Kluyveromyces lactis: one gene and its partners. The protein of the gene in region 3 purifies or fractionates together with the protein of the main gene of each other region. This does not show direct contact. Links are inferred from orthologs where the notes say so. Each region holds a gene or a part of one and is shown on either strand. Other genes may lie near its edges.

What was found.
Region 1: the proteins of LSM2 (region 3) and BRR2 purify together in Saccharomyces cerevisiae (affinity purification with mass spectrometry; 7 studies listed by BioGRID, with this or other methods). This does not show direct contact. The link is inferred for Kluyveromyces lactis from reciprocal best matches to the Saccharomyces cerevisiae genes LSM2 and BRR2.
Region 2: the proteins of LSM2 (region 3) and PRP8 purify together in Saccharomyces cerevisiae (affinity purification with mass spectrometry; 4 studies listed by BioGRID). This does not show direct contact. The link is inferred for Kluyveromyces lactis from reciprocal best matches to the Saccharomyces cerevisiae genes LSM2 and PRP8.

Annotation. Positions count from the first base shown.
Region 1 is NC_006039.1:1,577,846-1,589,322, forward strand, and holds BRR2 (ATP-dependent RNA helicase BRR2), read right to left. Parts: upstream 8,357-11,477; coding exon 1,907-8,356; downstream 1-1,906. Other genes in the region: TFIIH/NER complex ATP-dependent 5'-3' DNA helicase subunit RAD3, read left to right, coding at 1-1,814; RAD24 (Rad24p), read left to right, coding at 8,719-10,665; monothiol glutaredoxin GRX4, read right to left, coding at 11,106-11,477.
Region 2 is NC_006037.1:469,263-480,889, reverse strand, and holds the end of PRP8 (U4/U6-U5 snRNP complex subunit PRP8), read right to left. Parts: coding exon 4,525-11,627; downstream 1-4,524. Other genes in the region: bifunctional ATP-dependent DNA helicase/ssDNA endodeoxyribonuclease DNA2, read right to left, coding at 1-2,553; KLLA0_A05302g (uncharacterized protein), read right to left, coding at 3,012-4,133. UniProt on the Saccharomyces cerevisiae protein: Functions as a scaffold that mediates the ordered assembly of spliceosomal proteins and snRNAs. Required for association of BRR2 with the spliceosomal U5 snRNP, and the subsequent assembly of the U4/U6-U5 tri-snRNP complex.
Region 3 is NC_006042.1:850,346-859,817, reverse strand, and holds LSM2 (Sm-like protein LSM2), read right to left. Parts: upstream 3,763-9,472; coding exon 3,475-3,762; downstream 1-3,474. Other genes in the region: porphobilinogen synthase HEM2, read right to left, coding at 163-1,191; KLLA0_F09251g (PITH domain-containing protein), read left to right, coding at 1,897-2,664; KLLA0_F09229g (uncharacterized protein), read left to right, coding at 2,962-3,351; GDI1 (Gdi1p), read right to left, coding at 4,167-5,504; KLLA0_F09163g (putative hydroxyacid dehydrogenase), read left to right, coding at 6,015-7,289; KLLA0_F09141g (type I glyceraldehyde-3-phosphate dehydrogenase), read left to right, coding at 8,460-9,472. UniProt on the Saccharomyces cerevisiae protein: Component of LSm protein complexes, which are involved in RNA processing and may function in a chaperone-like manner. Component of the cytoplasmic LSM1-LSM7 complex which is involved in mRNA degradation by activating the decapping step.

The DNA of each region.
Region 1 (11,477 bases), on a different chromosome or scaffold from region 3:
TGTTTTCATTTGAAAGATTGATTCGGTTTTGTGAGGAGAAACGGATGTGTCCTTATTTCACTGTACGTCGTATGATTTCGATGTGTAATATTATCATTTACTCTTACCATTATCTATTGGATCCCAAGATTGCAGAGCGTGTGTCGAAAGAGGTCAGTAAAGATGCTATTGTGATTTTCGACGAGGCCCATAATATAGATAATGTTTGCATTGAATCTCTTTCCCTAGATTTGACCAAGGATCTATTAAAGAAGGCCACTAAAGGTGCTAATGCCCTGGATCGGAAAGTCGAAGAGATGAAGAAAGTGGATTCACAGAAATTACAAGATGAATATGAAAAGTTGGTTCACGGGTTAAGAGCATCGGATATCTTGGAACCCGAAGAAGAGCCGTTGGTGGAAACACCAGTTTTGTCAAATGATATATTGAAGGAGGCAATTCCTGGGAATATAAGAAGAGCTACACATTTCATTTCATTTTTGAAAAGATTTATCGAATATTTGAAGACTAGAATGAAGGTTTTACATGTCATATCGGAGACACCAAACTCTTTCCTCCTTCATCTCAAACAATTGACATTTATAGAAAGGAAACCTTTACGATTTTGTTCAGAAAGATTGTCGTTATTGGTTAGGACCCTTGAAGTCGAGGAAGTGGAAGAATTTAACGCTTTGAAAGACATTGCAACTTTTGCTACTTTGATTTCTACTTATGAGGATGGGTTCCTCTTGATTATAGAACCGTATGAAATCGAAAATGCGGCAGTGCCCAATCCAATCGTTAGATTTACTTGTCTTGACGCATCGATTGCAATTAAACCTATCTTCGAACGATTCTCATCGGTTATTATCACTTCGGGTACCATATCCCCGTTGGATATGTACCCTAAGATGTTAAATTTCGAAACTGTATTACAACAATCTTATTCGATGACTTTAGCGAAAAAATCATTCTTGCCAATGATTTTAACAAAGGGTTCTGATCAAGTGGCAATATCATCTAGATTCGAAATTAGAAATGATCCTTCCATTGTTCGTAACTATGGTTCGATGTTGGTTGAATTTGCCAAAATCACACCCGATGGTTTGGTCGTTTTTTTCCCATCTTATTTATACATGGAATCCATTATTTCAATGTGGCAAACTATGGGTATTCTAGATGAGGTTTGGAAATACAAATTGATCTTAGTGGAAACTCCCGATGCACAAGAAACTGCTTTAGCATTGGAAACATACCGTAAGGCCTGTTCTAACGGACGAGGAGCCATTCTTTTGTCAGTTGCGCGTGGTAAAGTGTCTGAGGGTATCGATTTTGACCATCAGTACGGAAGAACTGTACTCATGATCGGCATTCCGTTCCAGTATACAGAATCTCGTATTCTTAAGGCAAGACTAGAGTTCTTACGTGAGAATTACCAGATCCGAGAGAATGACTTTTTATCTTTTGATGCAATGAGACATGCAGCTCAATGCTTAGGTAGAGTTTTACGTGGTAAAGATGACTACGGTGTAATGGTGTTGGCAGACCGTAGATTTGCAAGGAAGAAAAGTCAACTACCAAAATGGATTGCACAAGGTTTATCTGATGCCGACATGAACTTGTCCACGGATATGGCTATCGCCAATACTAAGCAATTTTTGCGAACCATGGCACAACCAACTGATCCAAAAGATCAAGAAGGTGTATCTGTGTGGAGTCATGCACAGTTACTGGCGCACCAAGAAAGTGTTAAGAAAAAGCAACATAACGGGTTTGTTGATTCGGATGTGACAGAAGTCAAGGATAATGACGGGGACATTGAAATGAAGGATTAGATAAAGGGATTCTACTCTGCTTATAGAAAGAATTTTATTTTAATTTATATTCACTGCATATATACAGTACTTTCTTTTTATTTATGCATTTACTATGCGATGTTAACATTAAATGTTACTTCCTTATCGGCATCCAAGTAAGAATCACATACACACCATATTGTTAGTTCATGATCACCAGGATCTTCCAATTCGATTTCCAATTCGTAGTCCTGGGTCATTTTTGTAAGCGCGATCTTCCTGATAGCATATAGCTGCCTGGAGCTCTTTTCACCGATGAATATCCACCATGCTTCAGTTTTTTCATGTGGCAACGACTTTGAGCTAACATTTAGTGTTTCTGGTTCTTCATCTCTACTTACTGTTACAGTAACCATTTTTTTGTCGTGAGGTTTCATCGGTGCTGACATATCTAGAGCATACTTCAACTCAATGTTTGGATAACTGTTGACAAATTCTGCGACTTTATTCAACTTATTTTCCGGTAAAGTGATGATATCTTCTCTTTCTTCATCCTCTAAAGCCATCACGTCATAAACTGTTTCTACATTATGGTTTTTGCATTTCTCCAAGATGTCTGTATCAAAGAATGGAATTTGTTTCAAAGGTGAATCAGTATCCCACACACCTTGAACAATCATTTGACTTAAATCCATAGCAGTAGTGGCATTCAAATAACCGTTCATTGACAATATATCTACCATTGTTCCTGCTAAGCTAGGTGCTTTTGAAAGGATTTCAGACAAATCAAGTGATAAGTCCATGGGTAAATGAAGACCTGAAAAATGGGCCTGCAATAACACAAAAACCTTGGCTGTTGTGGAGCGTGGATCGAATTCGGAGGACAACTTCAAAGGTGAAATGTCGTATAATTTTCTTAATGGCTTTATATCATGTAATCTAAGAGGCAATGTCTTAAACTCTTCACTTGAAGACAAAATTTCAAGAATACCGCTCATTCTTAGTGATCTTGATGCTGCTCGGCTAAAATTGCATATCGTTAAACAACTTACGGCATGGATAGCAGAAATAAGACAGGCATTATTCGGGGAAATTACCTCCTCTGCAATTTCTGTGGAATCGTTCGCTTCCCCTTCAACTGATATAAGCTCGGTTTCCTTCATGGTTGTTACTGCTTCCTCTACTAATTCTGTTAAATAGGAGGAAATTTCGTCTGCAGTCACATCTTGAATACCGTAGAAACTTGGATTTGCATGTATTCTACGATATAGATAAGTGTAAGTTAAAAGGTCGATACAGTCTTGCTTGGTTTCTAATGTTTGGTTTGCAAACTCCGTTGTAAGTAAATCAATAACATGGTATGGCAGAGAACTCTCCGTTGGTAACCCATCACAAAGGAATTTTTTATAGTATTCCTTCCTTTGCATTGTGGTGATTAGTTTTGCATGTGCTTGCTGTTTATTTGACGCCGTAAACGCTGTTCCCATCATCTCAAGAATAGTATTTACAGGATAATCGATGTATCTGTTCTCCCTGCCTTCAAAATATTGAGTTGTAGTAACAAAGACAAAACTTGATGAAGGGGCATCAAAACAACAATCCCTACTTGCAACCAAAATCGATATCACCTTGTATTCATGGAGCTTACGGACTACATTCCTATCGGAATAATGCATACCTTGGTATAGAATTCCTATACCACTTTGCAACAGTGTCTTGAGGTTGCTGTCCTGGACCTTGTTGAGATACGAGTGTAAACTGGATTCCTCTGCTCTAAGAAGATCAATGCCTTTAGCAACAGCGAGACCAACGAGTTCTGTCGCGAAAGAAACGCATTCATATCTGTCAGTGACGAAAACTGTTATAGTTTCATCGGGTGAGGCGACACGATTACTACTTTCAACGATCTCAGTTAGGGCCATTCGATTAGAAGTAGGGCTTTTTACTAAAATGCTAGTTTCGATATCGACTGTCAAGGGTGTTTGCCTTTCTAAAGCAGTAAAATTGAAAATACTTGATTTTTTTGCACCTAACCATTCTCCGAAATCCTTTGCGTTGGCAAGTGGGGTTCCAAGCCCCACAATCCTTATATTCTTCTCCAATTGTGTTGCAATGAAAATCATTCTCGTAATTATGATTTCATACATCGGTCCAATTATCTCGTTGCCTATTTCATGGATGTCATCACAAATAATTAGTTCTATTCTTTGAATGTTTTTTCTTTCCGGCCAGCGACGAGACAGGTATTCAAATTCATTCGGAGTAGCTAATATTAGATGAGATTGGGCTAATTGTTTTTGATCGTGCTGCAAATTTCCAGAAAAAGCATTGATCAGTTTTCCACCAGCCAAATGTGAGAATCGCTTTTTCCAATTCTTTAGAAGTTCAGTTATCTTGGTTTTGAATGGACAAATGTAAATCGCACGTCCTCTGCCTTCTCTCCAATGGTTCAATAATGAAAGTTCTGCCATTATTGTTTTACCGGAACCTTTTGTTGCACATATTAGTGCGTTTTCAGTTTCATGGTATAATGTATCGAAAACTTCAGTTTGAACTTTATTGAAAGAATGGAAATTGTATAACGCCTCAAATTCATCAATTTGTAGTTCCTTGGTACTTTTCTTAATTGAATCAGAAACAGATATTGCAGGAGGGAATGGTTTAGGTAATTTTATTTCACTCAAAATAACAGGAATCTTGTACTCACAGTTTAGCCATTTTTCTGATATAACGGATACAAAATAGTTCGGCGGTAACATTTTCTGCTTCAAAAATACAACAAAGTCAAGATACACAATGCTGTTTATTGCATTTCTCCCAACATGCAATGTCTCATGATAAATTGTTTGTTCACCGTCTGTGTCTTCGACAAGAACAAGGAATGTTTCAGAATAGCTGCTGGAATCCAGATCCCAGATCCATGTAGGTTGGAGTTCCAACTCAAAACGAAGTAGTGAATTTGTAACTGGCTGCATTGCGCAGTGAATGCCAATCTTCGGGAATCTTTGAAGCAAATCGAAAGCAACTTTACCATTTTTTGGAGATCTTAAGGCTTCGCCTACCTCATGAGCATTCTTCAACAGTAAGAAATCGTTCCAGGGTAAACCAGACGCTTCTGCTCGTCTTATGATTTCTTGAGGGCATCTCTTGAATTGCCTAAATGGTGAGTTCGTGGGCCACATTCTGCTATCGACGCATTTACAGATGGTAAGCAGAAGCTTGGTTAGTCTTGGCCATCCTTTTCTTAAGCACATTTCGAAGAGTGCTCTGAAAAGTCTACCTGCGCTCTGAGAAATGTAAATCATATCCGCATTTAAAGCGAACCCCTCCAATCGTAATTTTGAAATGTACACCTGAAGTAGAATGTTTGCCTTGGCTAATGAATCAGTAGCCTTCTCCTTGATCGGAATTGGACAACGCTCGACGAGTTTCTCTAATTCAGTTTTCTCTTCTTGTCTTACGGTAATGTTCTTAAACTCTTCTGACATAGCAAATATTCTCAGAATGTCGATCAAAGTGCTGTTTATTGTTAACTCCCGGTTGTATTTTGCAATTGACGAATAACTTATGTAGAAATGAGAGGATATTCTACCTAGCTCAGTTGGTTGTACCGACTTAGAAAGAGAGTCATAGTTTACAAGACCGTTATTCTGTAATAAATTCAACGCCGTATGCACAATATTTCTGTTGACTCTTATGAGCTCAGCATCACTCATGTCTCCTGAAGAACCTTGCAAGTTGTATAAATGAGGTGATTGCTTCATCCGTACTGATAAATAGGAATAACCCAACCAGTTAACTGCTTCATCTAGTGAGGTGACGTTACCTAGAACTATTTCAGCATTAAGATTATCAACAACTTTTGAAATCATTTGAGATTCTATAGGGAGTTGTTGGTTCAACACAGCGAGATAATAACGTACGTCTGATTGGTTTGTAATAATGATCCCTTCACCATTTACGTCGTATCTCGGCCTACCAGCTCTTCCTAACATTTGAAGGATATCTTGTGGGGGAAGCATGACCCAATCACTTTTCTCCGGTGAATACATTTCTGTACCTTTAATTATGACAGTGTGGGCAGGAAGGTTAACACCCCATGCTAAAGTTGCTGTGGAAACAAGAACTTTTAGCAAACCATCAGCAAAAAGGTCTTCGGATAAAGATCTATCATCCTTTGTAAGGCCTGCATGATGGATACCGAATCCATAAGGTATAAGGTCGGAGAGCGATCTATCAGTAGCATTACTGGATTCTGTCTTGAGGATTTCCAAGGAACCTTTATCGGTACCTTGGAACGCACTTATTTTATCTTCATTTATAAGTTTTTGAATAAGCCACCTAGCAGTTCTAGCAGTATCCTTTCTCGAATGAACGAAAATGATAACTTGGTGTCCTTCTTTTGCGGCCTCCAATAATTTATCATAGCATGCCTGGTTCATGGCATTCTTCTTCTTTAAAGCATTTTTCTCAGTGATGCCACAATACTGTTGTGCTAAAGGACATGGCCTGAAAGTTGAATCAAAATAAAATAAGCCATTATCAGGAACATGAAGGAACTTGGCCACGTCAATGTAGTTTGGTAAAGTGGCAGAAAGTGCAACAAGCCTCGTAGGAATTTCTGCCGTTGTGTCCCGTAGAACCCTTGCTACTATTGATTCAATGACCGGACCTCTTTCATCATGTAATAAATGGACCTCATCTATGATGATCAAACGTACGAGTTTGTGAAAGCTAGTGTCTGTTGATTTTCTTGTGATTACATCCCATTTTTCCGGAGTTGCTACTAAGAGTTGGGTTTCTTCGATTTGCTGCTTAGATAAGTTGGAATCACCTGTAAGCTCTGCTACCTTCACTCCAAAATGATGTAACCTTCTTTGAAATTCTCTGACTTGTTCTTGTACCAATGCCTTGAGCGGTGCGATATAAACCACTTTAAATTTTTTCAAATCGAAGGCATTTCTCTCTTCCCGATAGTAATGGGACATTGCTCTTAGTACAGTCAACATTGCTACGTTAGTTTTACCAGCACCTGTGGGGGCACATAGTAATACATTAGCGTCTGTATTGAAAGCAGTGGGGTAGACCTCAGATTGAATTCTGTTTAGTGAAGTCGTTTCAGACGTAGGGAAAGCACTGCGAGCCCATTTCGGTAGGCTCTCGATCTGTACAAGCGGGAAATTGTCATCAACCTTCTTGGGCGGGGGAACGTGAATTTCTTCATAGCTATCTTTGACTCTTTTGAATGAGTTTTCAGGTAACGAAATTTTCACGTCTGACAAAAACTTGGTATTCTGCGATAATTTAAGGTCATCGAGGGCAATTACTTTGGGTTCATCTTCAGCTTCTATTTTTTGTTTTTTGGTTCCAACTTCTGGCTCTGAATTCAACTTTCTTTTAGCAGAATCAGGTTTCGCCTTATATGCTTCTACCAAGTGTGATAAATTTCTTTGTGCCATTTCCCCTAGAATTTCGTCAATGTTCTCGTTCGCAGACCTCTGTAAGTTGTGACCCCAGTACAATGTCTCCCTATTTGAGACTATTAGCCTAATCAATTGTTTCGCATCAGGTCCGAAAATATCGTGGAGATTTTGGGTCAGTTCCTCTTCAGAGATGTCGTTTGCGAGCAGGTCGTATACGTTATTGGCCATTTCCTGAACCTTTGTCTCTTCAATATTTTTCAGTTGTTTCCTGATCTTCCTCTGAAGATAAAATCCATCAATATCTTTGATATCTATTATTTCTTCCATGACAGCTGCACTCTGTATTTGCAAAGATTCTGAATTATTCATTATGTCACTTCGTACAGAAAAATTATCATTACTATTGTCTGTTTTTTCATTATAACCCGCTTCTTCATCGGCCTCTTCCCCTGCCACGTCATCTACAGCTTCTAGTAGAGCATTTGGTTCCTCTTCTTCTTCTGCTTCGTCATCATCTTCATTGGGATTTATCGCTACATTTACTGTTCTACCGGTATCGGCGGATTCTGCGTAGTAATCAGAGATACTTTTCACGAGCTTTACAAGTGAGTTGAATGAAGCGTTGTCTAATTCAGTATCCAAAGCTACTTCAATAGTCTTTTTCTTGCTCTCTAGGTCTACACTTTCATCCTGCTTCAAAGTTACTATTATCAAATCTGTTGCGTCTACTATAATGGAATGCGGTATATCATCACCGAGTATCTCAGAACACCATGTAGTTATCTCATCGTATATCTCAGTATTTCTATCATCAGTCGGTATGTAGTTCAAAGACGTTATATCGTCAAGTACCGTGGTTCTGTCCAGCCTTGAGCTATTCGTCTGCTGAGGCGATGAGCTTTTCATACGCTTTTCGAATTCTTTCTCTGCTGTAGCACGCTCGTTATCTTCTAATCCGTTCTCCTTAACGGCAGATCCCATTTCAGTAAGCCTGATTCTACCAGACATAGACTTCGGCTGTGATATTTCCGCATCACGATGCACATCCGTCCTGTTCTCTATCAAACTTCTATCAGCGCGTAGTACCTGATTTGACATTTCATCATAACGGTAAATCTCTTTGATTTTCTGCTTTCTTTCTTTAGCATCTTCGGTCATCTCTCTGTCTAAGTATGTACCTTATCAGTACTGACTATTGCTTGATTTCAACTCGCTCTATGTGCATTTTAGATACCACATCTAAGCTATACGATGTTATTCCATTCATATAATTCATATTCGACTAGCAAATATCAAATGGAATGCTTAATTTCAATGTGCGGGTAAGCTAGATATTTCCACAGTCAGAGATTAGCACTCAATATAAGAGAATACAGATTGAAGAGAGGTAAACTACTCTTAATACCAAATTATATACCGAATAGCTCGCCAAGACGGAGCTCGGCCGTTTTGCAGAATTGAACTAAACGACATTACATTTATTTTCGTCATAAATTGAGGAATTTTAATGATGTTATAGCATGTCAACTCCTAGTTTGAAACGATCTATCAGTGAAATCAGCGATAGGATAAGCAGAGCATCCCCAAGAAAGGATAAGAAGGTGAAACGATCATCTACGTCGGTTCCTTCCTTTCCTTACACGAATTTGGATCATGTGGATTTGACACGACCTAGTGGAGAACGGACGTTGCCAAGTGAGCTGCAATGGTATGACAAATTTAGTCCGAAGAGAGTTGATGACATCGCATTGCATAAGAAGAAGATAGAGGAAGTACGGTATTATTTAGAGGGTATGGTCTCAGGGAAATCAGATGAACGGATTCTTCTGTTAAGTGGGCCTGCAGGTTGTTCTAAAAGTACTTGTGTTAAGCTTATAAGCGATGAGATAGTGCCTCGTTATAGAGCTACGTCAGGACTCACAGTGAGTGGAAGGGAAGTTCCGAATTTTACAGAATATCTTACAGATATGAGTAGCGTTTCACCATCTGAGTCGTTTGATGATTTTTTGCTTCAATCTAAGTACTTAATCGGTAGGAATTTGTCAGTACTTCTTGTCGAAGATCTGCCGAATGTTTTCCACGAGTCAACGTTGAAAAGGTTCAGGGAGAGTATTCTCTCGTGGCTCTTTGCTTCTGATCGTCTACCACCACTGGTGATTTGTCTTACTGAATGTCAACTACTGGACTCGAATTCTACTAATTCATCATTTGGAATAGATTCTACCTTCATTTCAGAAACAATCTTGGGCAAAGATATCTTGATGCACCCGTTGTTGCATCGAATTAAGTTTAATCCCATCAATGCAACATTAATGACGAAGCATTTAAAGCAGATAATACAGAAAGTTAGAAGAGAAATCCCCTCAGAGAAATACCAAAGAAGTGGCACTTTCATTAAGAACCTTGCATCTAGTACAGGTGATATTCGATCTGGCATCGCGGCATTACAATTCTGGTGCACTTCTAGCTTTGATGAAACTAATAGTATTTTCACGAGAGAAAGTTCAACAAGTTATTTCCATGGTATTGGTAAGGTAATATATGGATCGAAGGATAATGAAAATGATAGGTATATGATAAATGAGCTTGTTGACGGCGGAACAATTGCCAATGACACGTTCAAATTGGGTATCCTGGAGAATTTCTCTAAATTAAACAAATCACAGTTCCCGCTGCACTATGCTGCAGATGTTGTGGACACATTGAGTATAACGGACACACTACGACCTCTAGAAGAAGAACCTCTGTATTATTGTCTTGGGAAAGTTAGAAATATTTCTAGCGATGTGAAAAGTTCCAATCACAGCGTACATGGTCAAGCAAACTTTCCAAGAGAGTATAAGATGGTTCAGGAACAAAAGAGGTTTCAATTTCAATTGCAGGATTTCATTGCTGTTGAATTTTACAAATACCACTCCTTGTGGTCCACCAAAGACGCGGTTCTTTATGGGAGTTATTTTGGTCCTGAAATACGTAAATTCCTATCATTTAAGGCGAAGTCTTTGAAATATTATATTGATTCGTTGAAACCTACCACAGAACAATATAATGATTATATGTCTAAGTATAGGAGATTATTGACGATAGACGATCTTGACATCTTGGAAAGAGTTGGTGGTGAAATGAGGATGATGCATGCAACTTCTGAATTAACGACTAGTTTAGATGATTCTAAGAGCGAAAATTTAGCATTAACCAATGAACGGAACTTGGAAAAACTGAAATCTTTGCAGAAGCAGTCGCTCCTAGACGAGGACCCCTCTACTTTACCAGATAACCATGATTTCAAAGATGATCCGATAGTGGATTCAGACAGCGAGCCAGCTATCGGTCTGGAAGTAGAAGAGGGTGACTCTGAACTTTACGAAATTTTGTCCCAAAGGCCAAAACAAACGAAGTTCAATGGCACTCAGAACTCAATTAATGAAGACGTTCCTCTATCTGATTCTGATATAGAGAACCTATAGGAATACTTGTTATATCAACACCCCCAACTCGTTTATGAAATTGCATTTATCATTTAATCAGATGTTTTTTATTACTAATGTTACTATTCTATTAAAAAGACATAGATAAAAATAAATAAGTGAGAAGCATACGTTGTTACTGTGACATGGTACACGTTGTTAACATTCGAGACTCAAACATAGCGCTGCAAGCCAGTTAACGACTCATTGTTTTCAGTGTGCTTGTTCGTTTACTTTTTCGTGGTTGCAAATCAACGAATGTTTCGAGACCCTACCAGAGATATTCAGTGGCTTCCAATTATGGGAAGAGCAGACCGCAATAATTATTAACGTTGTGTGTGCAAGCAGCTCTGCTCTAATAAAATATTAGCGTAGTGCAACAAAATTCTCTGTTAGGTCGTTATAGCTATTTTCGTTTTGATGCAAGTTAGCGGGTCAACTTATGCTGACAGAGTGTGTTGAAAAAACTCTGGATCTTCCTCTAATGACTCCTTGATGATATCCAAACCTCCTTGGAATTCACCATTGATATATAGCTGTGGGAAAGTTGGCCAGTCAGAAAATTTCTTCAAACCTTGTCTAACGTTCTCATCCTTCAAAATATCGAAGAACCCAAATCTGATTTGATGTTCTCTCAATATTCCAACCATCTGTCTAGAAAAGCCACACTTTGGCTCGGATGGTGTACCCTTCATAAACAGCATAACAGGTGCAGCTTGTGTAAGTTTTTTTAGCCTTTCGCCCAACTGTTCTTCTGTTTCTTCTTGCTCTTCGTTATCTTCACCCAATGGTGACCCTGGGCCAACATTAGA
Region 2 (11,627 bases), on a different chromosome or scaffold from region 3:
GGAAGTGGCAAATGACCCTTGAATATCGTTTTCGCGGCAGAAAGTGTACAGATATCTCCCGTTTCCCTGATCCTGTACATTCTTTATGGTAAGCTGACTTATGCAATGTCCTGTTTGAGCCTCTCGATCTGTGCCCGACATAAGGAAAGTATCTTTAGTGACACTTGTTATGCTAGTTTCTTCCATCATTAAAAGCCTATCGTACTTGCCGTAAAACGACCGAAAGAGCTCTAGGACCTGTGAGCCTTGTGCTTCAAGATGTCTGGTTAAATCAGTATATTCATGCTTTAGCAATCCTGGCGTTTGTTCTTTGTCACTTAACTTGTTGAGCACCATGCAAGATGTCTTCATGAAACATTGATCGCACTTGGAGTTCTGTATCATTGCGGGTAATTCATGTTGTGGTCCACCCCAATCAGACATCTCTTCATTCATTACTTGTAGGTATGTCGCAAGTTTATTTCTGAGGTTAAGCAGATGCTTTAGCGATATTAAAATTTTGGGTTGTAATGAGAACTCTCTTAGCTTAGTATACAACATCATGTGCAAATTTACAGGGATGTCATATCTATCCTGGAGAAGCAATGTATAAATTAGACCCTGTGCCTCGTGTGCATTAGATTTCCATTTCCCTGTCTTTATCTCCACGGGAGCTAACAACTTTTTACCGTCTGAATCAACATTCGTCTCAACAGTGACATCTATATATCCTTTCAATCCATACTTTGATGACCAAATGTTCTCTTCAATATCAACGATCTGAGAAACAGATAATTTACGTTTATTTTTTGTTCCAATTACTTGAATCCAGGACCTTGAATTGTCCTTAGTGACATAAATGTTCACAAATTCTATGATAAAAGGTAAATGCTCATCTGAAATCGTTTTAATCACTGATTCGACAGATTCTCCACACATATTCACCTCCGTAGTGAATGGTTTTATGACTTTGTCCAGAATTTCGAGAGCTAAGCCTTTTGAGAGAAACTGATTCGGCTCCAACAGCTTCAATTTTAACACTTCCTGGACCAACGCGTGAATAATGTTACCTAAGACAGCTGCAAGCGAGTATTCACCGGGTTCATTAAATTTTGAAGATAAAACGGCACGCCTTTCGCAATCCATGGCAGTCCCAATTGCAGTGGCAGAAAGAAGAACATCCGGATACACGATCAATAAATTATCATTTTCGAGGCCTGTTTTAGGGTCTTTGTCATTTGAAAGAAGCCGTTTATTAGGAAAGTGGTCACCTTCTATTAGGTGAATAATCATTCCTTGCTCGTATCTGAAACGAATCCATGGATCTCTGAGAATTAGGTTAACTTTTCCAGCATCCTGATTGAAGCATGTGAGAATTATTTGCGCTGGTGATTTCATTTCCTTGATTTCAAAAATACATAGTCTTTGACAGCCGCGTTGAGGGAATGGGAATTTAGCCAAGTTAACATACCTTTCAACCACATCGGCTTTGTTATTAAGCAGATGATCGGTTTGATTTTCATTTGATTTTACAGAGTCTTCCACATTTTCATCCTCTGATTCAAGCATAACTTCAATGCGTTCAATTTTTCTCACTTGAAGTTGAGGGAGTGTAGCTGGCTTTTCCTCATCAAGAAGTTCTAATAAGGAAGCATCTGATTCCTCTGATTCTTCATTGCATTCTGTGATGACTGGCTTTGTGAATCTTTGTGTGAGAATATCAATTAACGAATCGTCCTCATCCTCGTCGTCATCTATATTGATCTGAGGAGGATACATTGTGAACGTGCGTTCTATGCCATTAGTTGTAGTATGCTTATGATTTGAAATACTCTCTGATGCCAGCTCCGGAAGATTTTCTACAGGGTCATCGTCTATAACAACTGGTTCCGAGCAAATTGGTGAAGAAGGCGGAAGCAACTTAGGACCTTCTAAGTCGTTTAAAATTTCGTGTATATCTCTCATAGGTGTGACATCCTTTTCTCCTCTTTTTACAGGAGATCCTTGTGCAATTTTCCTGCATTCTTTATCAATGCTGTTGGGATCCATGTTCTCAAAATCAATCACATCTTTAAACTTATCGTTGATCAATGGAGTAGAAGATTGACCTAGAGGCATATCTTGACTTAATTCATCGGAGTTATTATCGTCGTTTCCAGTATTATAATGGTTACATAATTGCTCATCAATTTTCCTAGGAGAGTATCTCCATATTACTTCTTCCGACGGACCATCGCTATACCTCGTTTCTGGCACAGCTTCAGTCGATTTTTCCCTTCTAGTCTTTGTGCTATTGATAATTCTTTTAGATGCAAGCTTTGTTTTGCCACTAGTTTTCGCATTGACAGTATCTTTGACGGAACTTCCAGCTTCCACATTTCGTACTCTTGAGATCGGTATCGATTTCAAAATTGGTTCTTCACTGCTAAGCCGGTTCAGGGGGGCAAAATGGTAAGATTTACTTGGTTTCTTTTTAGGTTTCCCTTTATAATCCACTGAAATAGCATCCGTATCCTTCTTAAATGGCGATATAGAAACACTGGCGGTACGTTTTTTCTTTGGGGTAGAAACCATCGTGTTTCCAGTAAAGAATTCAAAGCCTTATTGCTATTGAGTTTGTACAACAGTATGCTTCTTTTTCTGCTTCTTGAATCCCCACCATTTGGGTTACCACCAATTCACTAATCCTAAAGTTGACTGATTGGCAGTTGGGCTTTTCTCTCTTCGCGTTTGAAGATATTCAAATAGTTCTTCTTATTCGCGATATATTTATGTGTATTGTTTTAATATTTACGTTTTTTAGAGATCAACATTTTCTGATTCCAAACCAAAACATTGCGCATGGCAAAAGGCAATCGCAGGGCTAGGGTACGACTTACATTGGATGTATAGAACCGACACTTTGGTCCTCTCACAAATATTGATGCATTTTCGTGCATTCCTTTATAAATTATATTGTTTGATAAACGTCATGATAATGAACGGAAACGGTGAGTTGATACGTCAGAATTTTACGTACGAACGCGTTAGTATTAAGTATTAGGTTGAGTTCTTTTCGTTAAATTGAGGGATTGATACGGGGTAAAGTGATCTGGTGTAGACTTCTTTAATTTAATGACACTGTCCTGTATGATTGTGGATGGTTCTACTAGGCCGTTACTAGCTTGATTGAGATTGAGTTGATAAGTTTTAGAGTTCGCCATACTGATATGTTGATCCGGACTTTGTAGACGTTTCGGCAGTTCGTTTTCATCATTGACTATATGTTCGTCGTGGTTGCTTTTATCCATAAAAGAATCTCCCAATTCGATGAAATCATCGTTCATTCCTGGAGCGAACTCATCTCGTAACCCAATTGTGGAATAGAAACTTTCAATATCTGAAATCAGTAAATCTTTCTTCTTTTTGAGAGACGCTTCCAGTTCTTTGCTAAACTTCGGTACTCTTTTGTTTGCTGCAGCCTTTAGCTTCAGTAAATTTAGCCTCGTCTTCATGAGTATACGGGATGTCTGCTCATATAATGCCATTCCAAGCTTTTCTTCATTCATTTCTGATGCAATTGAATCGATTGCCGTTAGTTCCCGTTCCTCTGGCAGTGCGAACGACCTATTTTTAGTATTAGAAACATTTGGTGCAGAGGTACTTTGATTAAATTCTGTGGCTTCGGTTTCATTTTGTGATAGCTTTGGTGTCTCTTGCTTTTCAATAGAATTTTGGAAAGCAGTTGGCTTTGTAAGTAAATTCTCTTTAACTGCTATTTTCACATCATTCTCTTCATTTGACGATATGTCACCAGAGTCAATATTAACGGGTAGTCTAAGGGCATTATACATTTTTGATAGAAAGTTGTAATTTGATTTGGAGCCTTTTTGTACTTTGTCAAACGAGTAACCTAATCTCGTTAGTTCCATAATGTACTTAGCTGCGTTCATTTCATGACCAGACATTGGGAGAAATTTAGAAGATTTATCAGAGTTAGATGTTTGATTCGCGTTAGTAGAAGTTGCAGCTATCATATGATCCGTTTTTTTAGGACCTGCTGCGTTGGGCCTGTTATATTTCGGTCCAGAGTTACCTGGTTTAAATCTCAATGGATTCTTTCTTTGTGGTCGTGTTGCTGCAGAGACATTTCTCTTGGTAGTTGTTCGCGCCATTATTATTTCACGGCTTCCTTTATTGAAAGTAACTAGTTTCTTCCAATATGCACCAATAATCACTTTGGTTAAACTGTTTGTTTAACCGTCTCCATCGGAGAGTCGATGTGCAATATCTTCAAGGGACGAAGTTCCTTGTCTACTTTTTAAATATTCAGTATTACCTCTCAGAGAGAAGTCACGTGAAAGTTTGGAAGTCAGATGGAACAAGCACATTATGACTACTTCACTTTTATGATAATATGAAAATCGTAGAGCCTAAAACGCCATTCCAAACCGTCTTATACGGTTGATGTAAGGGCAAATGCAGGTCAGATGCCTAATATAAATGTAAAATGGTTTTAAAAAAATATATAACAATTATAGAGAAATTATCTGTATTCTCCTTCGCTTAAGCGAATAGATTTTCTTGATCCGGTTCTAATTCCTCATCTCCAGCAAGTTCAGAGAATTGTATGAAGTGAGGAGCACGATGGAGTTCATTATAGAACTCTAGTGGGATGTCTAATTTCAATTCGTAAGGTAGATCTTCGCTAAAAGCAGTTCCCATGAAAGCGTAATTCCATATCGATGACGAAGGTACCAAGAAATTGCCCATAATGCGTTCAGATAATAAAATCTGTGCAGTCTCGCTAAATGAAGCTTCAAACCCTTCTGGTGAAGGGTCCGTTATGTCTTTCGATTGTAAGCCCCAGTTGAAACCCGTAGTGCTTAACGTATATCCTGTAATTGATACGGCACCTGGGATTAGATTTATGCACAAATCAACAGCACTTTCGTTATGATCTGAAAACATTTTGGAATGAGTGATCACTTCAGATGGTGACATGAATTTGGAATCGACTTTTTGGGTATGTATCCATCCCAACAGTTCCATGTCGTTGAGATATTTGGAAGATGAGGGGGGAGGAGATATGCGAACAGTTGCGGAACTGCCGAGTTGAGGGACAAGTGCTATCGTCTTAATTTCCTTCACATTAGGGTGATCTTTTACAGGTGACCCGTACATATACCCTGCAATTTGGACATCGACATCAGCTATTGTGACAAACTTCTTCAACAAGTTCCGTGGGAATACGAGGACATCTTTATCTTCTACAAAATCTTCGGCAGTAACATATATGTTCTTAAGCTTCAAATGTAGCAATGAATTGGAGATTGCATTTGACCGCCAAGCATTTTTCGAACTGAAAGATTGGGACTCATAATTGCTGGATGACACCACTGTAATTTCTTCACCTTGAGCATTGATTGTTTTTAGCTTCATGGCTGCCGTGGCAGACTGCGACGACTCATCAGTTTTCTGATTTCTTGCAGCCTCCAATTCTGCCATCTTCTGCCTCTGAACAGATGGAGCTCTAATGTTCTGTCCTAAAATCAAATTCTTGATTTCAGTTTGAGTCAAAGAAGCAATGTTTACATTGTATTTTTGACCATACTCTAAGAGAATTAGATCACGCATCTTCGTCTCAATTTCAATCCACTGATCATCAGTAAAAGAAGGCCATAGATGATTAGCTCTCGTTGGGATTGTAGGATCCTCTAATAGAATCATTTTGGCTTTTTCTTCATTGGTTTTGAGCGCTCTTAATAGCAATATCAATCTAGAGAAAGCAGTGTAGGCAGAAACTCGAGTTAGCCAGTCATCATAAATGTTGAACAAAACCATCTGCGGTTCTGTAGCGCTTAAAACAACATCATTTAATTTTTCTATGTTCAAAACAGAAGAAAAAGGTAATCTGAGCTCAGTTGGACGAATCGAAATGTTTGGGAAATCTAACATGTGTACTTCCATAGGGTCCATCATAGCTTTTCTAGTAACTATAATTTGTTTAGGTTGTTCTTCTTTGGGTAACGATCTAACCAATGCACTTACTTCTTCTGCGGTTTTCCATTTTGCCAATTGAGCCAATCTGCTCTGCCCCGCCCACACCGAAGTGTGAATTATTTTCAAATATAGTTCACCTGTTTTCGGATTTAAAGTAAACACGCATCCGTTGATAGGCTTAGTAGCCACATTGCCTTCATAAGTTCTATGAACAGTGACCCGGTAAACATTCGTATCATCGATAAAGAATTTTGTGTCATTGGAAAATAGCTCTGCGTAGTTGGATGAGTTCAAAAATGGCTCTTGAACTTGAGATTGATATATCTGAAGACCTTTCCTGATACGCTCCCTCAAAACGTAAAGTGCTGGATTAGCTTTCATTATTGTTTTCATACCGTTGTGTATCAAGGGCTTCAATCCCTCAAACCACGTTCCATAGGAGTCGTAAATATTATAGGCCAAGTCAATACCGATCATAATACCAGTAGGAGACGGGTACAAGCTCACGTTATCTGTGGTGTAATCTAAAAATTTCGCACGGACATATCTTGATATATCATGAGAATCATAGTCACCATATCTAAGCTGCACATCGATCCACATTTTGTCAGTTGTGGTAGCGTCGAAAGAATCTTTCGTCTGATGCAACAATGTTGGTCTGCTAACCTTCCATTTGTAAATACTGTTCAATGTGATGTCAGCAGCAGACGAATTCATCTTATACGACTTACGTGGATGAATTGATTCTTTTTGAACAGATTCAATCTGTAGTATATCCATTTGGCCGTCCAGAATTTGACAGATGTCGAAAACCACACTTTCGTGGATTTTTTGCCATAGATGTGCTCGGAAAATTTGAATTAAAGATATCTTCAATGTTGGAATTTTACCGTGCAAGAATATTCCTGTTAAATCCAATTGCACCAAAAACCCAACGTAGACGTTCGCTCTATTAATCGTCGGAGACCACCATAACGTAAACCTACGATTAGGGATCTGACTCAAACCAGTTCTTTGTGCATGAGTAAGTTTCTTGAACTGCATTGAATCTTCAAAACCAGAGGCTTTCTCCCAGAAAAGTCCTTCCCATGATTTAAAGCCAGTTCCTTTAAATAATGTGTGCTCAAGAATTGTTTCGATACCCCCTAAGGCCTGAATGACATCCGTACGATAGGCATTCAAGTTCCATAATTTACCATCATGACGATTATTTGTCCACCAGAAAGCATTACTACGTTCCACTGAATACTCTTTGAATTGTCGCCTAATCCTGTGACCCTTATCATAGGCTAGCGTATGCCTATCTTTTTGGAATATGGTACTGATCCGCGGTATACCTCTATCCCAAGAACCCTCTAATTCTTCAAATGCCAACCTACGATTTTGTTTTATGGCTTCTTGTCTTTTAGCAGCATAATCCGCCCATACTCTCTGTGAGTCCAAAAATTCGTTCTCCCAGGTAGTAATGTATCGGAAAATTGTTGGTATCATCTTCTCATCTTCGTGGGACATCCCTGCCCTGAAATGTGTTATTCCAGTATCTGTGTGTTTTGACCACCTCAAGTCAGAAGCGGGAATTAAAATGTGCGATGCGCTGAGCATTCCCAAACCACCTAACTCTTTAGGTGTATAAAACACTGCTGGAGGGAACCTTGTTGGCATTTTAGAATTTAAGCCGAGTTTTACTCTATTTTGAACTCTAGTCTCAGATTTCACGAGTAAGTCGAGTAACGGTTCTGTCGTGACGATAGATTCTCTAAAATAGGTAAACAAAGCGATTAGTGCAGTATTCCATTTGCCCACAATTTTTGTAAAAGTTGTGGAGCCGGAACCCATCAAAATACTTTGAATACGACCTCTAAACTCATCAATAGCTTCTTGTGATACCTGTAAAAACGCTTTGGCAGTCCGTTCTTTTGTGGAGTCCAACACCAAATCCCATACACCCTCATCATGAGAAATGACATCTTCCATCCGAGATTTCGGTAGTATTCTCACCTCAAAACCGCACATAGTGAAAAGTAAATTAGGATTATTCTTGCTATAAACTGAAGAAAGAGTATTCTCCCACGTTATGTTAACAAGTGATTTTGGTACCCTAGATGTAAGTTCCCAGAAAACAGCACGACCTAGATTAACATCGTGTCTGATTAACCTCATGCGGGCGTCTCTAGGCCAGCATTTCTTGTTGTTATAACCAACAGAATTTTCAAAATTTGGATCGGGGTTTTCCATCAAATAGTCTTGGATAAGCTCATCAGACTCAGATTCTTCAAAGTGGAATAAAATATGGATTTTGTCAAGATAGCGTGAGTAGAGGCGAATTGGGCTCTTCGTTTCAGTAGCTTTATCTGGAAATTGCAAGAATTCAGATGGTTCGTTTGGAGGGCCTGCTAGTTCCTGTGCCCTTTCATGTCCCAAGATGAGAATATCAATCATTAAACCATAAAATTGATAAACAAATGGTGCAAATTGTAATCCCCTTATTAGACCATATTTGTTAACATGATTCATATCCTTAAAGATCAAACTGACATTATTCTTTGCAGTAATGTAATCCGCTAATGTCGGATCGATAATTAACCTTAGGAGCCTGTTTATTAGTGTCAAATCCATCTTTTCAACGAATTCTTGTAAATCAGTTTGCAACAATACGGTCGATTGCCCTTTGCTGATGTCCCATACAGAATCTAAGTTGTTAATGCCTTGACACCATTTGTAAACAAGAAGTGGCGGGATTTCTGAGTCACCTGGCTTTATCCAACTAGGGAAAAGCTGCCTTCTGTCAGCTTCATACCATAGATACTGGTCAAGATATGCATCGGTAATTTTCTCCAACGGATCAACGTTATAGACTGGAGATATGTGTTGATAATGATCCATCATTGTTAGTTGTATTGGCTTGAATAATCTTTGGGTTAGCAATAGTTTTTTAATTCTATTCAAGGTATCATGAGGATTGTCATATGCCTCTTCAATTAAAGCTAACTCTTCACGTTCCTGGGCATTTAGCCTGACTTTTGAAACGTATTGCTCTTTTAAATTCTCAAGTGCCAAAACCAAAATCTTCGTATCGTTTTTATAAGTCAAAGGAGGGAACGGGATAGGTGAGAAGTTCCTGGCATCAAGCCAATCTACCATTGCCGAGAACACTGCACTTGCTTCTGCTGGGGTTACTTCGGGACCTGCTTTCTCAATTTCCTTTTGCCTTTCCTGCTCATGTTTTATCCAAAGTCTAGTTAATCTGCCTAAATTTTTCTTCAATACAATTTTTTCGACATGGGCACCACTTTTGATTCTATCACGATTATAGTGAGCTTGAGATGTCCAACCGTCAGCTTTTGCTTTCACATATCTTTCTATAATGTTTTTTATTGGCTCGGGCATTCCTGGAACTTCCCAGGGAACATTGGCTTTCCAGCATCTCCAAGCCTCAGATAAGTGCTGTAAAATTGTCCTTGCCTTGCTCTGCTTTATTCCATCGGGAATCATGTCCAAAATGTCATTCATAACAGATGCTCGTAGTTCTAAGTCATAGTAAGCATCGAGTCTTTGTTTAGTAGTAGTTTTAACAACATCAGTTGATCTTCCCTCAAACTGACGAGTGAGTAAATTTCCTAGCCACCTTTCTAGAATCGGTATTATGCCTCGAAGGAAGAATATCCAAACTCTCCATGCAGGCTGCCAGAAACCACATCCTGGACCTTTCCCGATAATTTTATTGAATCTATAATACACGACATGTTTTAGATCTTTACATGTACGAATTTGATGCATGACTTTGTACTTGTACCTATAGATACCTGTGAGTTGTCCTGTGTGGTTCAAAATATAGTACAATCCATCAGCAAGCTGAAACGCATCGACATTTCCCATCCTATATTGAACATGAGAATCTACCAACAACTTTATTATTTTTAAAATTTCTCTTATTAAATGGAAAGCATTCCCAAATCTTGCCTTCTTTCTCTCCTTCGTTGTAAGGGTTTTAGTTGGCTTTAAATTGAAATTGTAATCAAGATGTAAGTACGTAAGGCCTTTTTTGTGAATCAAGAGATTGAGCATACTGTGACCTTGTTTGCAGACTTGTAAGCCGGCCTCAACCCAATCTATCGTTGTTTCTTGGAAGAATTTAGTATTTGCTAGACTTTGTAACAACTTAACTTTCTTTTTTGAAGTGTGGTCATCGGTATGGAGTTCATTTGCTACAATATTCTTCAATAGTCTTTGGTGGGAACTCTTTACTTTGTTAGGATATCTTTCATCAGGATGTTCTTGGTACCACCTTTTTATTAGAGCGACATCCTGAGCTCTGGTGGTTTTACCCGATCTTTTGTTGTATGGATATGGTGCATGATATAATGACATTGCTTCATTAGTAGTGGGAAAAAATAGTTCTTGTGTTTCCATTAAAGGTCTGACATCCATTGGAATCCTAAAAGAGTTATCTCTGGTGTTTTCTGCAGTTGTGTGGAAATGGGGCAGGGAATGCGAAATAGTTGGGTTGAGAGACTGTCCGAAAAAAAAGGTAGCAGATGAGTGCTCCATTTCAGATTTAACGGTACACGAGAGCGGATCATGGTACCACAATGTTTCAACAGATCTTGGTCGAGCTGCATATATTTGAGGGAAAGCGATCTGGTACTCTGTTCGTATAGGTATGCGGAAAATTACTCTATCTATTGAATTGAATTCGTTATAATCTTCCTCTTCTTCGTTTGGATATAGAGGCTCAAATTTGGGGCCACCTGGAAGACTGTTATTTAGCGCTTTGGAAGTAAAGAAAGCCTTTTGCTCAAACAAGTATTTTGCGTTTTTATCGGAATTCGACTCTTCAATGAGTGGTTTTGCCAATCTGTATAAGCTGCACATGACTCCATTGTCAAGTTTCCAACGTTTGTATGAGCTTCCGTTGACTGCTTTCGCATTATCCTCTAGGGGACGTGTATCATAAATCCAGTCTTTTACGCCATCATGAGCATAATTATCCAAGTCTAAAGTTATGGCTTCTGAAGGTTCTAGATTCTCAATGGTATCAGAGTATGTCAAGGGAGGTTCATCGTCGTCAAAAGGAGGGAATCTCATTCTTTTAAAATGCTTTCTATCTCTCTTTTCTCTTCTCATTGCGATCCACATCGTTGACCATTGCGCAGTGTAAACTGGTTCTATCACTCTAGGAATCTCATTTACAAATGTTATAGCACCTGATACATGATATAAAACTTTGACAGCTTTTACTTGTTCCCAAGGTTGCGGCATATTCTCCAAAAGTTTCAATATAGCATGGGGTAAATATCTTAGTGCATTCAAATGTGCTCTCTTATCGGAGTTGAATCTTGATGAAGTCATATCCATGTGATCATTTAATATTTTCCTGAGATGTTCCGGTGGCATTTCTACCTTATGTGAATGAACTAAGCCCGATTTTTTCTGAGCTACTCTTTTCTTCCCTTTCCTGATCTTTTTTGTATCCCTCGAAAGACCGTTATAGTGCTGATCGTCATTCTGTGCTTCGTCTATCATAGATGTTGAAGATGACGATGGAGGTGGTGGTGGTGGAGGTGGTAAGTTATTCTTCGCTTTATCAGAAAGAATATCTATACCTGGCTGAATTCCAGGAGGCGGGGGCGGTGGTGGTCCCAGATCTACCCTGGAAAAACCAGGTG
Region 3 (9,472 bases):
CCCTTTAATTAGGCAGTGCGTATTATGATTTCGCAATAGGAAAGAGGGCTATGAGGAAAGAAGAAAATAACAAAAGATTGTGTCCTAGAACATGCCATGGTCATTAGAATATGAATAAAGGTATGGAGTTATGATTCGTAGATGAGTGAGTGGCTTCTTTTTTCAATTTTCGTCAAGCCATTCCAAAAATTCTGGAGTGAAGTAACTGATGATTAAGCGAGCACCAGCTCTGAGGAACCCATAGTGCGATTCAAAGGCAATACTTTTCAAATCAACAACACCCTTCTCTGCAGCAGCATGTAACATAGCGTATTCACCACTGACATGGTAAGCACACACTGGGAGGTCGCGACAGATTTCAGCTGCATCGGACATCACATCCAAATAGAAAGTAGAAGGTTTGACGATGATACCATCTGATCCTTCTTGCAAATCTCTCTTTAAAGCACGTCTAGCTAGGCCACGACCTCCTGAAGGCAATTGATAGCACTTACGATCACCTTTTCCTGGTTGAGAACAAGCGGCATCTCTGAATGGACCATACAAGTTACCACTGAATTTAGCGGAATAACTCATCACAAAGGTCTTATGAGCCAATCCATGCTCGATCAATCCCATCTTAATCTCTCTGATCCTACCATCAATCATATCACTTGGCGCCACACAATGAGCACCAGCAATGGCATAATTGACAGCAACGGCAGCAATTCTTTGAACCGATTTTTCTCTGTTAATGGTGCCATCTTCATACAAGACACCACAATGGCCATGGCTAGTGTATTCACACAAACAAACATCGCAGATAATGTACAAATCAGGGAATTCTTTACGAAGTAACTTGATAGCTTGGATTACAGGTCCTTCTGGATCATCAGCAGAAGTAGCAACTTGGTCCTTAGCTCCGTCCTTCAAAGGCACTCCGAATAAAATAACAGAACGTAGACCCTTGGCAACCAACCCGGCGACATAATCTTTTAATCTGTTAATACCAAATCTCTTGATATTTGGCAATGATGGTATAATAGTTTCCTCATCATCCTGATCACTAACGAACAACGGGAAGATGAACATATTCTTTGTTAACTGTCTCTCATTCTGCCATTCTCTCAATAAAGGATGGTTATAACCACCGGCAAGAATAGAAGGAATATCGGTAGGACGTTCGTCCAAGAATCTAGCAACATGGACCATTTTGGTTTGGATGTATGTACACAAGTGAATGTACTATCTTTAGGGCGGTGCTTCCCTCTTCGGATCTGGACAGAATACACCTTCAGTAAAAGAAATGTTGCTGCTTTTGATGCGGATATTGGGACTGAGTTACTTATAAACCTTTTTCAGATAGGCTCGGAAATTTCTTTTTTTTTTGGGAATGACTAGTAAGAATCCTTTATTTTTGTATCACGTGCTTGGCATGTTTTAAGTTGGTTCTTTATGAGTAAATACAGTTTAGGTATTCAAAAATGCACTTGCACACAGGCTGCCGTCTTTATTTTATTTAGGTTGCTGGTGGTTTGGTTCTTCAAACTATAGAACTTTTGAATTGTGTTAGTTATTTTTTGTTGTATTGGATAATGAATTTATTCATATTATGGATCTGCCGAAGTACTTAACGATAGATGCCAGACCGACGGGTATCAGAACACGAAATGCTTACGGGGGTATTCTAAAAAAGGATCAGGTAACATTGAGTGTTTTTGTTTCTAATTATACGTATCTCAGTTTAGCTTTTATGTCTATACCCTTATTTCTCCTGTAACTCTCATTTACAGATTAAGGTATTTAATAGTAAGAATTTCATGTGATTTGATGAGATGAGATAGGATGGTTTAAAAAGTGAATGTAATGGCCAGAATAGAATAACAAGAGCAAAAGTTATCTGTCTATATAACCACAATGTCAGGCTTCAGTTGTGAAGACGAGTTGCATTCTCATAACCATGACCACGGTCACAGTCATGGCGATGATCACGGACATGGTCATAACCACGATCATGGACATTCTCATGAACCACCTGCAGAAACGTTCTCTAACCAGTCCCTATATACACATATTGACATGACAAAAGTACAAGTCCTGAATGGAGTTAGCAATGATAGGTCAAGTTTGGTTTCAAAAAGCTTTTTGAAGCCGCAAGATGAGAAGTATAATACTTCCCTTTACTTAGAGTCAGACGCAGACTGTCAAGTGTTACTTCAGATTCCCTTTACTGCATCTGTTAAAATATTTGCAATTATATTACGAGTTAACAAGGGTGGATCAGGGTATAGTACACCAAGACACATTCAGTTGTATAAGAACTACAATAAGAATTTGGACTTTGATACCATAAACGATCTGAAGGCGGAGTACACCGTCGAGTTTCCAGACAACGTCGGTATTGAACCAGATTATAATAATGAATCATTATTTGATGATGACACATTTATCAAGTTTGACTTGCCAAGGAATATCTTCCAGAATTGTGAGAACTTGACTGTCTTAGTGAAGGATAACTGGTCGGGTGATGAGGATGACCTTAATAGATTATATTTCTGTGAGTTAAGAGGTGAAGCGACAGGGAAACTAAGAAATTCAGGAGTTCCAATTGTTGCAGTGTATGAGGCGGCTCCGAACCCTGCTGATGTGAAATTGGAATCGCAAACTATTAATTACGCCTCGTAAAGGGCAGTTCTGTTCAAGAACAAAGAAAAGTTTGTGATAGTAAGACAAATCAACCTAAAAATAGTTGCATGGTATATATGTATATCTCGTATGTTGAAATGAGCATATAGTCGTAAGGAAATGCGACTCCACCTCTTCTCACGGGGTCACATCCGTCCCTGTCCGATGTCGTTTTTTATTTTCACTTTCACTATGGAATCTAAGTGAAAAAAGAACGATAGAGAGATAGGATCAAATTCAGGACCACCAGAGTAGGAAGTGTGGTATCGGATAACCCCAGTGACCACAAGCTCTATCATGGCGGATGCAGACAAGATTATTAAACAGTCTGAGGCGCTTGATCAACTAGCCAAACTAGTGTTATCTCAGTCCCAAAAAAAGCAGTCGACTCTCCCGTCTTTAAAAGAGGAATACGAGAACAAACTGAAGAACGTTGATGAGCTCATCTCGATGATTACATCCGTTGAACTGGATAAAGAGAAGTTCTCAAAAATGATTTCGAAACAAATTGAGATTATTCAGAAAGACGGTCAAGAATATGCTCTAATTCCAGTACAAAGAACTCCTAAACAAGCCAAATTTGGAAAACGAAAGTCTAAAGCTAACAACATTAAATGTTCTTATTGCAATGAAACTGGACACCTCCGATCAAAATGTGAGAAGAAACTCTTGGGAGTTCCACCATGATAGGTAATGTGTTCTATTATTACATATGTGAATAGTGTGAGAGTGGTAGACTCGAATGATATTTAACAGTTATAAATTATTCCTTTCTGCAGCAGGAACCCTGTTTTTCGCTGCTTCTTTCGTTTACTTTCTTTCACTCATTAATTCTCTTCTGGTTGCATCTTGAAGTAGGTTGGTATCCACCATAGATTTCTTCAAATGTACATACCTCACAGTAGAACCTCTGATGAACATGTTCCTCACGCTTGATAGATGTGGATATTTTTCATTATTGTTGGACGAAATGTTGTCTAATTTTAAGTTCAAAAATTGGTCGACTGATTTTAGAGTACCTGTTAGTTCAATACCGTTCTTTAGTTCGACTTTGACTTCATGATCAACCAGGGTCTTGAAAAATGAAAATAATAGCATGGTTCTGGACAGTACGGCCTTGGTTCAGAGGTCCATGCATTTGACTTTTGAATGTGTTGTAGTTGTATTGTCAAATTTCAACATGAAATTGTTTTAAACAATTTCATGTTGAAGGAAAAAAAAAAGATACATGTACAAAATTGACATACACAACTTCATATGTAGAAGTAGAGAAGCTGCTGGACTTAAGAGGACTAGCTGGGATATTTTTACGTCGATTGCTGAAATAAAACTATTGCCAAAACATTCAAGCTAATATGTGGGGCTAGATAGTAAATAGACAAAAATAAAATGATAATGATAAAGATTGTAACGAAACAAGAAAGTAACGTAAAAGTACGTAGAAGTACGTGAAGGTACGATATTTTCAAAAGTTAGCATCACGGTTATCTCGTAGTTCTCACTTACTCCTCTGCAACATCTTCTCTCTTCTTTAAAACAAGGGGGTGACCAGTAATCCTAAAGTAGATATCCTTGACATCGTCGGTCATGGATTCGAAGTGAGATGAGGAATCGTAAGATTTAGAGATGTAAATGTTGTCTTTAGTGCCATCTTCGATCGGTTCAAAGATTTCTGAAATACCCATGAACCTCTCCTCAATTGGGCCCAACATTTTGAAAGCCGGCTCTAATTCGATATGAGGTTTATCAGTTTCAATGATGGTTGATACACTGGCGAGGTAATGACCCTTCGAAGTAACTTTATGGGCGTCAGAGACAGTAGCAATATAAATGTCGTTCTTTCTTCCAACTTGTGATTGTGGTATAATTATTTGGCAAGAATCAGCATTACTAGTGTTAGGAACAGGTTGTTTAGTGATGCAAATTGCTCTGATCACCTTTTCACCTGTAGTTTTACATTTCTCAGGGAAGTATGTTGGATCTGCGATGACTATTGGTGCTTTTGCAGTACCTTCTTTGGTGACAATACCTTCGAATTTACCATCGTCTGAGTATAAAACCTTTTCAATTGGGGTATTTAGCATGTATGTCCCACCGTAAATAGCTGATAATCTAGCAAATCCTTGAGGCAATTCGCCCAACCCATACATAGGGTAAATATATGGAGATTTACCAAACCTGGAAATCGATTGCACATATAGGATAATTCTTTCCACTGATGGTCTAGCAGGTTGTTGCAGATAATCGTCATTGGTCCAAAGGGCCATTGCGTGTCCAATAAATTCTCTGGTTGAATTTCCTAAGCCAAATTTGTAGTATACCTCATCCATAGTGTTTTGATCCAAGTTTAAGCCCTGATGTGTGGCGATATCTTCTTCATTGTATGCACTGATCCATTCCAAGAACTTCTTCATCCTTCTTTTCTCGAAGATACCCAATAAAGAAGATGAAATAGCCTCCATTTCGTTAGCAGGAACTTTATATACTTTACCTCTGTTGTAAACGTACGAGCCAGCAACTTGCTTGAACTCGATATATCTGGTGACGTCAGTATGAACCAAAATGTTAGTCAATTCACCATTCGCCATCAAGAACTTAGGAATCAAATCCACGTTCCAATCTCTATCCTTGCCAAACTTTGACTCAATGTCTTCCTTACTCAAAGGATGTTGTTTGAATTTAGAGTATAGTTGCGTTAATGTGACACTGGATGATTCACCACCATAATGGTCCTGTCTGTCAACATGTAAGACTTTTTTCCCCTCGATTGAGAGTAAGCCAGATAATATACACTCGGTAAGACCTGTCCCAAGGACGATAACATCATAATTTTCGTCCATTATTACAAGCTTTTGTCAATTCGACGTTCTATGAACTAGGTCCAACGTTTCCTATCTAGTTGAAGGTAGCCCTACGTTTGAAGTCGTTATTGTTTTCTTGCTAAATACTATGATCCTCCCTATTATTGTTATTTTTATTGTAACAATCGCACTTTCTTTATTTTCAACACTAATTCAAGGTTAAAAGACAAACGTTCTAGACGCATATAACTGCATTCAGTTCAGGCATTGATCTCGAGCGTTAACAAACTAGTTGGACAATTTCAGATGCTCATAAATTGCTGAAGATCCAGGAATGTTCAGCACCTCGAAAGGTAGTATGTCAGTTCAACCAATATCGTAAAATAGTGACTGAAGTTTTCTTCACGTGACCCAGATCTGTGAACGGAGGTTTCAATATTAATTATAACAAAGACGATCCTGGGTTGGCAGAGAAAAACTCGGATCCCTTCACTGCAAAGTTTATACACAAAACCATATTCCCTCATTTGTCCCAAACTTCGTTTCACGATGGACAGGCCATGGATACTATTCATAGCTGAACCTGAATACAGTTTACAGGAATATAAGCTTTTGCAAAAAGAGTTCAACACGGTTAATTACACACTTGAACGAGATGTTGATGGCACTGGTAAGGAAGCATTTCTAACTTTCTTGGACCAGCATTCGAAGCAAAAGGGTCCAATTGTCGGAATATTTGGAGGGTATCCACAATTCGCTCCCTTAGGTGGTTTGAGTGCAGAAATCTTGGATGATCATCGTTGGCCTGGGTCGATCAAGTGCATATGTCTGTGTTCTGTAGGTTACAATTGGCTCGACCTGAAGTCACTACGGGAAAAGGGCATTCAACTGTACAATTATGACGACATGATACAGGACTCTGGAATTGTAGCCAACGACGTTGCAGATTGCGTCCTCTGGCACGTTCTAGATGGGTTTCGGAAATTCTCAAGTCAGGCACATGCATTGAGATCAGCAAGAAACACTATCAAGGCTCGTTCAGAAATCGTACTGGAACACGGTGAAAACAATTCACCAAGGTTCGAATTTGGGCACAGATGGAAACGAGGAACCTTTAATGAAAGTTGTCGGAACAAGAGATGTCTCATTATGGGACTTGGACGTATTGGAATCCAGTGTGGTAGGAAATTGGATTCCGGATTAGGAATGGAAATACATTACACGCAGAGAAATCCGGTTACAAAAGAACAAATAAGCTCGGACACTTATATCCAGAAGTGGCAATTCCATCCAATCTCTGAGCTACTTGAGTCTGATTTTCAGGATGCGCATGGAAGCAGTCCATGCCTTGAAACGTTTGATTGCATTGTAATATGTCTACCAGGAAATGCATCAACACATCACATGATCAACAAAACTTTTCTGTCAAGATGCAAGTTCGGCGTTGTTATCTGTAACGTCGGAAGAGGCTCAATAATCGACGATGATGCATTACAGCATATTATGGCACAAGAACCCGGCAGAGTTAGACATGTAGCAATGGACGTGTTTCACGATGAGCCAATTGTAGAACAATGGTTATCTGAGGATTGCCATTATAACACCATCACCCCCCATATAGCTAGCAGCACAAGAGCTGTCTGGGAAGCGAGCAATAGACTGGCGCTACAAGTTTTGAGTCACGTGTGTGCTTCTTCCTCTTCCGAACCTTCCAAGAATTCAGTACCCGGAAGATTCGGTTCCAAGCCCGACTCTGAACCGTTCTCAAAAGCACCAGCCCCTGCCCGGAAAACATCGCTTTCACAGCTCCCCCGGGTTCTCTAGGCAGATTCGATAAAGGTATATCTATGTACATATCTAAGAAAGGAGGATAAGAAGAAGACCCTTTTATCTGCAGTATCTACTGTGCCCCTCACCCCGGAACTATTACCAAATCATGTCTGCTCTTTATGCGTTTCTCTGTTTTTCCCTCTTTTCTTGAAACTCCGAATTGTTTCAGGGCCAAATTGTCTGTCTCTTCCAATTTGCTCCGGTAGGACTTTTTTGTCCCTAAAAAACTGTCACGAACCCCGGAGTTTTTTCAGTATTTTTTCATACTAAAGCTTCGGCATACTTATGACATTATCTACCAGAGACCGGACAACATAATAGGCATACAATCTGATGACCAAAAACGCTTCCTATTGGCCAGTAAGCTCATTAAAGCGTCTGTCTCTATTCTTATCTGGCGTCTAATTGATGTAGTGGTTTCCCCTTGTCTCTGATTCGTGACTCAAGATAGGGCAGACAGCCACATAGAAGCAATCAATAACCGACCGATGCTTCGCTGTCCTAGTATTATTCAATAGGGATTGGCGTAGAAAATCGCACGGAAGCAGCAGCGAAAAAAAGCCTTTCATTTTACGTAGTTTTTCTGGCGTTTTTTTGTTGTGAATTTGACCTTTTTATTTACTTGTCTTGTGTTTTTTTCTCAACGTTCCTCTGCCACAGAGAAGCAGGTTGGAATTTCAACCTTTCAAATATTTAGACCAGTTTGAAACATTCTTCCGGGGTTTCTCTATGGCTTCTATTTCATTCATTTATCTGTTATCCTCAAGTATATATAAATATGGGATGTACATGCCATGGGCAATTTAAGACGAAATCATCTAACCGGTAAACGACTGGTGTTTTTTTTTTTGGTTGATGGTTTCCTTAAATTATACAAATCCAGAGATAATCATATCTAATTAACCGCTGTCTGCTCTGCTTTCACTGCTTTCGCATCACCGTTTTCTTCTTTTTACCTTTTTTAAGAAATAAAGATCTTACTGGTACTGCTACGCTAGGTCATCCACTTGTGATTTAATAACATTGACATTAGAAAACTTCTTTATTTTCTAATATTTACTGGCACATATTACCGCTATTATTATTATTTGAGAGAAAAGTTACTTTTTTTCTTTAAACCGGACCTTTTAAAATCTCACAGAATTGATACTGTCACTTTTTTAGATGCCCGATATGACAAACGAATCTTCTTCTAAGCCAGCTCAAATTAACATTGGTATCAATGGTTTTGGTAGAATCGGTAGATTGGTTCTACGTGCTGCTTTGACGCACCCAGAAGTTAAGGTCAGATTAATCAATAATCCATCCACAACACCAGAATACGCTGCTTATTTGTTCAAATACGATTCTACTCACGGCAAGTATCGTGGTGAAGTTGAATTCGACGATGAACGTATCATCATTCAAAATGACCATGTTTCGGCTCATATCCCTCTATCTCATTTTAGGGAACCAGAGCGTATCCCATGGGCTTCCTACAACGTCGATTATGTAATTGACTCAACCGGTGTCTTCAAGGAAGTCGATACAGCCTCTAGACATAAAGGTGTCAAAAAAGTTATCATTACTGCTCCATCAAAGACCGCGCCAATGTACGTCTATGGTGTTAACCACGTTAAATACAACCCATTGACGGATCACGTGGTCTCTAATGCCTCCTGTACTACCAACTGTTTGGCTCCGTTGGTTAAGGCTTTGGACGATGAGTTCGGTATCGAAGAAGCCTTGATGACAACTATTCATGCAACTACTGCTTCTCAAAAGACTGTCGATGGTACCAGTTCTGGTGGTAAGGACTGGAGAGGCGGTAGATCTTGCCAGGGAAATATCATTCCTTCATCTACTGGTGCAGCTAAGGCTGTAGGGAAAATCTTGCCTGAACTTAATGGTAAGATCACCGGTATGTCTATAAGAGTCCCAACAATTAATATTTCCCTGGTTGACTTGACATTCCGTACAGCAAAGAAAACTTCTTACGATGACATTATGAAGGCCCTAGAACAAAGATCTCGCAGCGATATGAAGGGTGTTTTGGGTGTTACCAAAGACGCCGTTGTGTCCTCTGACTTCACATCCGATTCACGTTCATCTATTGTTGATGCCAAGGCCGGTATTGAATTGAACGACCATTTTTTCAAGGTCCTTTCTTGGTATGATAATGAATATGGTTACTCTTC